Drosophila melanogaster: one gene and its partner. Changing the gene in region 1 together with any one later gene gives a genetic interaction. Each region holds a gene or a part of one and is shown in the gene's direction. Other genes may lie near its edges.

Region 1 (7,655 bases):
GGTCCACGCCGGCGCCGATGCACGCCTTGTGCACCGCCGTGATGACCGGCTTGGGGCAGTGCTCCAGGCTGCTGATTGAGTCCTGGTACACCTTGATCATTCGCTCCATGGAGACGCCCTTGCGGGCGTAGTCATCGGTCTCGGCCAGCGTTTGGCCCACGTTTATCATGTCGTTGAGGTCGATGCCGGCGGTGAAGTGCTTTCCGGAGGCGGACAAAACGATAGCCCGGCAGTCGGGATTAGTGGCCAGTCCGTCGAAGCACTCCTTGATCTCCCTGGAAATGGGTAACGCAGTTTGGGTTAGCAGTCTGCGGAACAGGAAACGGGAAGCTATTGGATAACCCACAGCCACATCTGCTTGCTTATGGCGTTGAACTTGCTGGGCCGATGGAGCTCCACATGAAAGACGAACGGCTTGGGCGAACTGACGGCCAGCGTCTTGAAAGAGCCGGTGGGTCCGGATTCCGGGAGGGCGGAAAGGTTTCTCTGCATCTTAAGGGATCCGATGGCTGACGGGAAGTGCAATTGATTGGACTTTTAAAACGATGAAGAGACAAAGGTTCAATCACCGGTGTTCGGACTTTGAACCGAACCCAAATTTCGAACGCAGAAGGCTGGATGTCGGATTATCGAAGTCCCCGATACTTACCCGTGGGCTTGGGCGTTAGTTTCATCAGAGTGTTCAGGCGGGAGAGCGACATAATAAACCTTCTTTTCACTGGTTTCAAATCAAATCTACTTGTTGCGGCAGCTAAATTTGTTTTGTTTGCTTAACGATACGTAGCAGTGCTGCCACCCGGCAGAAATATTCAAAATAAGGCGGGCTCTCGGCTTATCAAAGCTACTGGATATATTTCACTAGCAGATTTTCAATGGATTTTTCTGGCTGCATAAGGACACAGTTGTTGCAATAAATGGGTTGTAGGTAAAATCAAGTCGTTGCGGCAGAAATTTGTTCGGCTACTATATCAATACGGTGTTTTGCTGCCACCCGGCTGGAGGATTCTAACTTAAAAAGTTTTGCATCAAATTCGCGTCAATGCGAATGTGTATTATTATTTATTTTTTCGTTGTTTAGAGGAGTATTCCAAAAAATAAAAATGCTAGAATGTTCAGATAAGAATTATCCAACTATATATGTACGACTTAAGTTTATAGGACTCAAGAAAGTATATAAAATGCGCAATCGAAAAATCAGGTTCACCATTCTTTGGAGAATATTTCCACTCGCAGAGCCTGTTCCTAATTGCACGCTAGCCCATCTTAAGGGACATTTCTTGTGCCTTGCTTACCTAAACCGAATTAGGTAATGATCCTGGAAAAATGCAGTGGGAGGAGCTTAAAGCATTTAAAAATGCCGCCTGGAATTCACCTCAAAATACGAAAAAAAATTAATAAGTACATAAAAAACGATGCCATGTTCCATTTTCTTCCGTTCCGACATAGCCGCTAACTCATCGACGCTAACTTGACGCACATAACAAGACGCACATAAAATTGCCATGAACAGATATTATTCTCGAATCTATCGATGTATCGTCCCAGCTTCCATCACTTCTCAAAGTTATCGAAAATTTGAGTTCTGCTTGCCACAATCTAAAAATCAGAAAATCATAAAGGTGCATAGTCTCGAAGCAGAAGCTCACAGGTCAGAGAAGAAATTTTCGGAATAAAAAAATAAATATAACAAGTTTTCAAAAATAACTCCGCACCAAACCCATTTAACCAAATCAAAAGCTTAAAGCAGTGAATAGTGTTATTTTTAAAAATTTAGCACAAATAAAAAGTTCGGGAATTCAACGCTTTTTGGTAAGTTTTCATAATGAAATAGCATTGTGCAATGAATTGTAACACAAATACATATATCTACTTGAAAAGGCATTAATTAGAACCCCTATACACATACTTTGAAAATAAAGGACTGCAACTTTCATTCAATTCGCATTTGCCCCAGGTTACGGCAATTTTCGAGGAAATTCGTAGAAACAGAAATAAAACCGAGAGTTTGACGCTTGCCAACTCTGGCAGTAGGGTTGCCCCTAAGCGTTTTTCCAACTGTTTAATTATTTGTGCAGGACTTTACATTGAATTGGCACACGTGTTTTTTGAGACAGCCACAAAACAAAATCTTCAACTGAAACCCGCCATGTTTTTGTTATGCTAGCCGAATGTATATAAATCAAAGAAGCGTTTCCGACCCCATAAACCTTACAAACTATATATATATATATGTTATACATATATTCTTGATCATTTGCTTAATAATATTCCCGATTTGCTTGTGTGAATCTCAAACTGTTGCCGCCAACTTCTTGGTATTAAGGGACACGTGCTTCACTTGTCAACAGAAGCTAACTGGCAAATTGTGTTCAGATTAGACTCTTAGAAACCCATTAAGAGTTAAAAAAAATCAATCGATGGGAATTTATAGAAACAGAATCGTCTCCGACCCTATAAACCCTACAGACTATATGTGCATATTTGTATATTCTTCATCATTGGCTAAATAAAATTCCCGATTTGTTTGTGTGAATCTCAAACTGTTGCCGCCAAAATGCTCAACTTCTTGGTATTAAGGGACATGTGCTTCACTTGTCAACAGAAACTAACTGGCAAATTGTGTTCAGATTAGACTTTTAGAAGCCCATTAAGAGTTAAAATAAATCAATCGTTGGGAATTTATAGAAACAGAATCGTCTCCGACCCTATAAACCCTACAGACTATATGTGCATATTTGTATATTCTTCATCATTGGCTAAATAAAATTCCCGATTTGTTTGTGTGAATCTCAAACTGTTGCCGCCAAAATGCTCAACTTCTTGGTATTAAGGGACATGTGCTTCACTTGTCAACAGAAGCTAACTGGCAAATTGTGTTCAGATTAGACTTTTAGAAGCCCATTAAGAGTTAAAAAAAAATCAATCGTTGGGAATTTATAGAAACAGAATCGTCTCCGACCCTATAAACCCTACAGACTATATGTGCATATTTGTATATTCTTCATCATTGGCTAAATAAAATTCCCGATTTGTTTGTGTGAATCTCAAACTGTTGCCGCCAAAATGCTCAACTTCTTGGTATTAAGGGACATGTGCTTCACTTGTCAACAGAAGCTAACTGGCAAATTGTGTTCAGATTAGACTTTTAGAAGCCCATTAAGAGTTAAAAAAAAATCAATCGTTGGGAATTTATAGAAACAGAATCGTCTCCGACCCTATAAACCCTACAGACTATATGTGCATATTTGTATATTCTTCATCATTGGCTAAATAAAATTTCCGATTTGTTTGTGTGAATCTCAAACTGTTGCCGCCAAAATGCTCAACTTCTTGGTATTAAGGGACATGTGCTTCACTTGTCAACAGAAGCTAACTGGCAAATTGTGTTCAGATTAGACTTTTAGAAGCCCATTAAGAGTTAAAATAAATCAATCGTTGGGAATTTATAGAAACAGAATCGTCTCCGACCCTATAAACCCTACAGACTATATGTGCATATTTGTATATTCTTCATCATTGGCTAAATAAAATTCCCGATTTGTTTGTGTGAATCTCAAACTGTTGCCGCCAAAATGCTCAACTTCTTGGTATTAAGGGACATGTGCTTCACTTGTCAACAGAAACTAACTGGCAAATTGTGTTCAGATTAGACTTTTAGAAGCCCATTAAGAGTTAAAATAAATCAATCGTTGGGAATTTATAGAAACAGAATCGTCTCCAACCCTATAAACCCTACAGACTATATGTGCATATATATTCTTCATCATTGGCTAAATAAAATTTCCGACTTGCTTTTGTGTGAATCTCAAACTGTTGCCGCCAAAATGCTCAACTTCTTGGTATTAAGGGACATGTGCTTCACTTGTCAACAGAAGCTAACTGGCAAATTGTGTTCAGATTAGACTTTTAGAAGCCCATTAAGAGTTAAAATAAATCAATCGTTGGGAATTTATAGAAACAGAATCGTCTCCAACCCTATAAACCCTACAGACTATATGTGCATATATATTCTTCATCATTGGCTAAATAAAATTCCCGATTTGCTTGTGTGAATCTCAAACTGTTGCCGCCAAAATGCTCAACTTCTTGGTATTAAGGGACATGTGCTTCACTTGTCAACAGAAGCTAACTGGCAAATTGTGTTCAGATTAGACTTTTAGAAGCCCATTAACATTCAATCGCTGCGCGCTCTACAGCACTCGCTCTTCTATTTGAATATTGCCATTTCTCTCGCACCACCTGAGTAACGGGTAAATAAGAGCTGTTTTTATTTTTTCTTTTGAATTTCGTTTCAATTTAGCTACGGCAATTCTCTTTGGACTTCCCAAGGCAACAAATTAAAAAGATCTATTTTTTAATTTAAGGGTTGCTTAGGAAAATATAAAACTATATATAGAAACTAGAAAAGTCAAGTATTAAGATTTTATATTTATATTTTTCTATTTAGGTTGTTGCTTGATTTTTTTATTTCGTTCCTATTTAGCTACGTCAATTCTCTTTGGACTTCCCAAGGCAAAAATTTGAAAATATCCCTTTTTAACATCAGGGTTGCTTAAGAAAATATAGAAATATATATAGAAACTAGACATGTTAAATATTAAGATTTTAATTAAAATTTTTTCAGAACAGCAGTTTTAGGCAATTCGTGCCAACGCAAATAAAATCAAATCAACTCGAGGCGATCTGGCATCTCTGGCTGCAGGGCTATCTCCGATAAACCGACGTTCATTGCGCGCGAAAACAGTCAATCGCTTCTCAATCGGCGAGATTTGTTTTTTTCGGCTGCTGTTGCTGTTTTAGTTGAGGGATTGGTCACCGGAAACGCATCCATGGTGCAGATCTGCGTGCTGTGCCTCAGCGGCGAGCGGGACGAGCTGATCTTCGGCACTGTGCACGTGGAGGGCAACATGATGGTGCACCGCAACTGCTTGGTAAGTAAGAGTATTCGGGTGGGCTTCCGCGTCCAGGAGACTCCTTCGCAAGCCGACCTTCTCACTCCCCTCGTTCTCCCTTCCTCTTGCAGTACCTCAGCTCGAATCTCATCCAGCGTGGCGAAAAGAAATTGAGCATCATGAACTTCCTCAAGGAGGACATCGAAGCGGAGGTCAACCGCTGCCGTTTGCTTAAGTGTTGCTATTGCCGCCGCTTGGGCGCCAATATTTGGTGCTGCAAGTCGGGGTGCCGTCGCACCTTCCATACCAAGTGCGGCGTCGATAATCTGGCCCAGAACCAGTTCTGCGACACGTACAACTCGTTCTGCCATCAGCATGTGCTGGTGCCTCGAAACCGTCCGGTGTTCAAGAATGACGAGGAATGTCTCCTATGCGCGGAGGACGTGGTTGCCAAGGGCGAGCGCTTCAGCGTGGTGACCTGCCTATACGCGCCGTGCTGCCGCAATGGATGGTTCCACCGCAGGTGCCTGCAGCGCTACGCCAACTCGTCCGGCTACTTCTTCAAGTGCCCGCTGTGCAACAACACAGATGTGTTCCGCAGGGTGGCTTATATGGGCATCGCGGTGCTGGACCAGTAAGTTAAAACCTACTACATTTGGAGCAAACAAGCCCAACTAACCAGTACTTGTATTCCGCAGAGACGCTTCCTGGGAGACCGAGCCGGACGCCTTTGCTGGGCAGTACCGCCGCGATGTCAATTGTACGGCCGCGTTGTGCGTTGCGGTCTCTGGTCGCGCCGACACTTCCGCCATGCTGCTGTACTGCACCTCATGTGGCGCCAATCCGTCACATTACCTTTGCACGTTGAAGACTCTCCAAAACTACGTCTGCAAGGTTTGCTCAGCCGTCAGCCCGGAGGCAGTGCCCGTTGCCGAATCGGACTCGGATGACGCCGGCTCAATGGACGACTCGGCCGAAGCCCCACGTCCAGGTCACCTAAATGGTGATCAGATTCAAGAGAAGCTATCACCCTCCCATTGGGATGATTTCGGCTCCTCCGACGATGATGCCGTCTTTCAGCGTGCGTTCGATACCAAAGTGCAGAGTCGCGTGGTGACCCTCTCCGATGATCAACCATCTACTTCTGCGGGGGCACGCGCTTTAGCCGATCGTGGAACTCGCACATTTGAATCACAGGGAACGCAAACAACATTTCTCTCAAGTGTAGTAACCTCGTTTCGCTCTGCTACTGCAACTGCGACATCATCCACATCCACATCCACATCCACATCCGCATCGACACTTGATAACCAAGAAAACACTGAGCCGTCCACATCGAATGGACGTCGTCCCTGGCGCCCTAGATACGTCTCGCCGCCTAGACACGTGTCGGATAGCGATGACGATAGTGATGAATATGATAGTGATGAATATGAGTCGAAGAGGCGCCAACTTACGCCCACTGCCGCTGCGCCGTCGAATGGCAGGCGTCTGTTGGGCTCCATCTCGCCGGAGCCGAGCACTCCTGCTCCACGTGTCTTACGTCGCCGCACTTTGGCCAACAGGCCTTCCTCACTCGCCAACATGGATATATCCTGTGTGGCCAATAGGACCCGCCACCGCTTGTCCAACCACATGGCCAGCCGCAAGGATTAGGAGAACAGATGACATTACAATAGATCACACTCGCACAAATCCATGTACACGGCAAGATCAATATGGATATATCCTGAGTGGGCAGGATACCCGCAGGGACTAGGAGAACAGATGACAACATCACGATACATAACACTTGCACATTCCATTAACCATCACATCGACTAGGTTGTGGACCAAATGCGTGCGTTTGGTTCGCACCCGTTATTCTCTATTTTCCGCCTTTTGTACATATAAAATTCCATTAAAATCCTGTTCTCCTAGCGGTATTCGCTAATAAGATGCATTTACCATTTATTTGCTTTGTTAAGTAAGCTAAGTAAGTGCTCCTTTCCACACGTATAAATAACTTGTATACATATTTACTTTAAGTAGCTGTAGACATTATTTTCCCCATCTGACTTTCTTTTCAGCAGCTCGCAGTGCCTACATTATTTCAATTACTCTAAGCATTACATTTTTTTGACTAGCGATCTAAGAATCCCTGAATCCAGTATCTGTATCAAGAATCCCAGTATCTGAACGCTAAAATGAAATAAATAAAATTAAAATATTTGAAAAATAAGTTAGAATGATTTTATTTGGATGTTGAAAAAACTTCTCAAAAGTTGTAAACTACGAATACTCACTTTCATTAAGAGTATAGCGTTTTGCTTCTAGTTAATACCCGCTACAAATCGGTATGAAAGTATATAATATTTAGTTTTTTTTTTGGTATTAATATAATATGGGCTTTATAAGTGATTATTTGAAGATTTTTTAAAAATCGCGCCATTCATAATAAATAAGTGCTGGATATGGCCAAAAGTTTATGCACAGGTGGCAACGTTAGCAACCCGCTAAACGGCAACACTTGCGATAATGTTCTCTAAATATATCGATACATATTGATATTAAAAAAAATTGCCAGTATTAATTTATTAAACTAATTTAATTTTTTGAGTGGGCACATTGCATATTTAGTTACAGAAAAATTCGACTTTATGCTCCGGCTAAATGAATCGATGTTTGTGGGGTACTATCTATCCTAAACTATCGATAGCATAAACATCGCATTTGGTTCCGTCTCTAGTGTGGGTGCGTTAGCAATAGTTTATCCAGAATATG
Region 2 (3,321 bases), 8.6 Mb from region 1:
TTTCTGGGTTTGGTGGGCGGGGTGTCCGCTCTGTTCGGCTTCTCGCGCACGCTGGCCACCGCCAAGAAGACGGATAGCAAGGTCCTCCAGCAGGCTGGAACGCGGCAAGGCATGATCCTGATGGACGAGGGCGCCACCCTGGCCCTGCGGGCGCTGGGCTGGGGCACACTGTACGCCGTGATGGGCACCGGCGCCTTCTGCTACGGCTTCTGGAAGCTATCCGGAGCCAAGGATGTGAGCATGCCTCCGATTTGTTCAATGAATTTCGCTTTAAATCTTTCGTTTCGTTCGCAGTTCCAGGAGTTCCGCCTCAAGATGGGCAATGCACTGCCAAGAATCACCAAGGACGAACCACCAGCCAGCCGCACCGATTTCGAGAGTCTCACGGACCTCATGAAATACCTGGCAGCCTGGAACAAGGAATAAGCAGCTCACAAATATACACACAATTTAAAGTAGACCTAACGCCTGAGTAGACCAGAACATAAAACGAAACCTTTGTTAACTTCAGTTTACATACAGACAATGTTTTCAAGACGTTTGATCGGTTTTCATTTCTTTCGGTCAGACTTAAAGGCAGCCATCATCAGAAGTGCAACTTAGGGAGTTACATATTAGGGTAGAAATAAATACAGTATAATTCGCTTAGCTGCATCGATAGTTAGCTGCATCGGCAAGATATCTGCATTATTTTTCCATTTTTTTGTGTGAATAGAAAATAGAAAATAGAAAAAAAAAAATTAAGTTAGCTGCATTTTTAAGTTACCTGCATCGAGGCATTGTGCAAAGTACTCGAGGCAGCTAAGCGAATTATACTGTATAAGCCAAAAGCAAACCGTCTTACAATCTCTGAGTCTTAATTTAATTTATCAATATCTACAATTCACATATGTATATTTATGCATAGCTTAGGGTCACCGTTGGTTGGCCATATTCTGGTGTATAGCGTTGTTGATCATGGTGTTCCGCATGAATAGGTAGTGATCGTCCATATTGCACTGCAGCTCCATCATGTCCTCGTGCTCCGCCTGAAATCGGATGGCCGCGTTTGTGAAAGCCAACGAGCTTCGCACGAAGTTTTGCAAATTGGGTCCCTGATCTAGGTAACGCTGCTGCTCCTTGTTTGGCTTGAAGCTAACCTTGCGATTGTCCGTGTCCAGTGCCGCATGCATTACAAAGTCGAAGAACTTTTGCTGCTCCTTCTGGGCGCGCTCCTTGTACTGCTGCACCTCGTCCTCCTGACAGCTAGGATCCCAGACTGAAAGTCTGTACGTTAAGTAAATGGCAATTTAATTAACCACAAGGATTGCACTTACTATCGTCCAGGTCAATGTTAAACAAAGTGCTTGCTTCATAGCGACGCGGTTTCAAAGTGGCCTCCAGTTGGGCCGGCACGTCCTTGAGATCGATGTCGGAGAGATCACCGCTCGATAGATCGACGGCACTCGTGTTGCCCACGTATTCCAGTACGTCACTGCGGCGTACGAATTTCATTAATTTTTCTGGACTTTCGGCTGGCTCCATCGCGTCGCTTCGTTTGTTTTCAGTTTTTAAATCCGTAAACGCTTGCCAACACCCATCGCTGATCCAGTGATGCCACATCTTTTGAACGTAATTCGCTCTGGCTCTTTTCAAGCCAAAACCTTTTATACAAATTAAAATATACGATATAAAAAATTGCACTTTTAATATTAATAAAAAGATATATACTCATTGAAAAAAAGCTGAACTAAAAAAGGGGAAAAGGGTTATAGGGCATAAGTCATTTTATGAATGCTAAGCAGGCCTTGCGTTTAGAATCACATTTCAATTTATTGTATTTGTTCAAGTAGTCAAACCAAATGAACAAAATCGAGAACCGAATACACAGCTATATATATACTTTCTCAAAATCCAAAATTTTAAGATTATCCAAAATTTCCAAATAATGATTTATGCGATCGTGATACACATACTGTCCCTTCTGGTGGGCTGTTTCTATCCAGCATTCGCGTCCTACAAGATCCTGAAAAGTCAGAATTGTAGCGTCAATGATCTTCGCGGATGGTTAATCTACTGGATTGCCTATGGAGTTTATGTGGCCTTTGATTATTTCACAGCGGGTCTGCTGGCATTTATTCCATTGCTAAGTGAGTTCAAGGTGCTTCTCCTGTTCTGGATGTTGCCCTCTGTGGGCGGCGGCAGTGAGGTGATCTACGAGGAGTTCCTGCGATCCTTTAGCTGTAACGAATCCTTCGACCAGGTCCTGGGACGTATCACCTTGGAATGGGGCGAATTGGTGTGGCAACAAGTTTGCTCCGTTCTTAGCCATTTGATGGTTTTGGCAGATCGCTATCTCCTGCCCAGCGGTCATCGTCCTGCCCTCCAAATAACGCCCAGCATCGAGGATCTGGTCAACGATGCCATAGCCAAAAGGCAGTTGGAAGAGAAGCGGAAACAGATGGGTAACTTATCTGATACCATCAACGAGGTTTTGGGAGAAAATATCGATTTAAATATGGATCTGCTGCACGGATCCGAATCTGATTTATTGGTTATTAAGGAGCCTATTTCCAAGCCCAAGGAGAGACCAATACCGCCGCCGAAGCCAATGCGTCAGCCATCATCAAGCAACCAGCAAGAAATGAATCTTTCGTCGCAGTTTATGTGACATCAATTGATATCCTCAATATGTCAGGCGGAAGTTGTCAAAGTTCAGAGCTTTCAAAAAGCATACATCTCAGAAATAAACTAACCTTACCGCAATAAAGTTTATACAAAAAAAGCATTTAAATTGATTAATTTTAGTCACAAAATATTGAACCAATGTGTTGGTTATCTTCTTAGCTATTTTTTCTAGCCTATTTTCTTGTGTTTGCACAATCAGTCGCGGAGGTCTCTTTTCGCGGTCCGGTAACGCTCACATAACAAAACTCAGCAACGAATCAAAAACAGCTGCATTTAACGCGATTCGACTCGGGATTTGTGTCCTTCCTTTTATGAGATGATATGCCGACTCTGCCTGGAGGATGCTGAGCACGGGGTGCCCATTTTCGGCCAGGAACCGCCAATGGGACAACCGGCACATCGCCAGCTGGCCGAGCTGATCGAGCGACATCTGCTGCTGGTGGTGAGTGGATTTGGACTTTTCTACCCCAAAAAGATGTTTTTTTCTAATGATTGAATTGTTCGCTTTCAGTTGGCGGAAAACGACGTGGTGTCCACGTGCCTGTGCAACCGCTGCTGGCGGCAGCTGGCCGAGATCGAGCAATTCTGTTCCATGGTAGCGGAGAAGCAGCGGTCGCTGCACCGCTCCTTGCAGCTGAAAACTGAATTGCCGGA

Evidence for each region. Genes that interact genetically often act in the same process or in processes that back each other up.
Region 2: of Phf7 (region 1) and Reepl1, changing one suppresses a phenotype caused by changing the other (phenotypic suppression), as found in Drosophila melanogaster (one study listed by BioGRID).

Annotation. Positions count from the first base shown.
Region 1 is NC_004354.4:20,159,811-20,167,465, reverse strand, and holds Phf7 (PHD finger protein 7), read left to right. Parts: upstream 1-1,635; 5' UTR 1,636-1,809; intron 1,810-4,624; 5' UTR 4,625-4,829; coding exon 4,830-4,931; intron 4,932-5,023; coding exon 5,024-5,526; intron 5,527-5,590; coding exon 5,591-6,548; 3' UTR 6,549-7,111; downstream 7,112-7,655. Other genes in the region: CG9577 (uncharacterized protein), read right to left, coding at 1-275, 347-509, 650-701.
Region 2 is NC_004354.4:11,570,875-11,574,195, forward strand, and holds Reepl1 (receptor accessory protein like 1), read left to right. Parts: upstream 1-1,832; 5' UTR 1,833-1,927; coding exon 1,928-2,650; 3' UTR 2,651-2,766; downstream 2,767-3,321. Other genes in the region: CG11699 (uncharacterized protein), read left to right, coding at 1-234, 295-426; Kmn1 (kinetochore Mis12-Ndc80 network component 1), read right to left, coding at 915-1,258, 1,317-1,524; CG11696 (uncharacterized protein), read left to right, coding at 2,984-3,109, 3,179-3,321.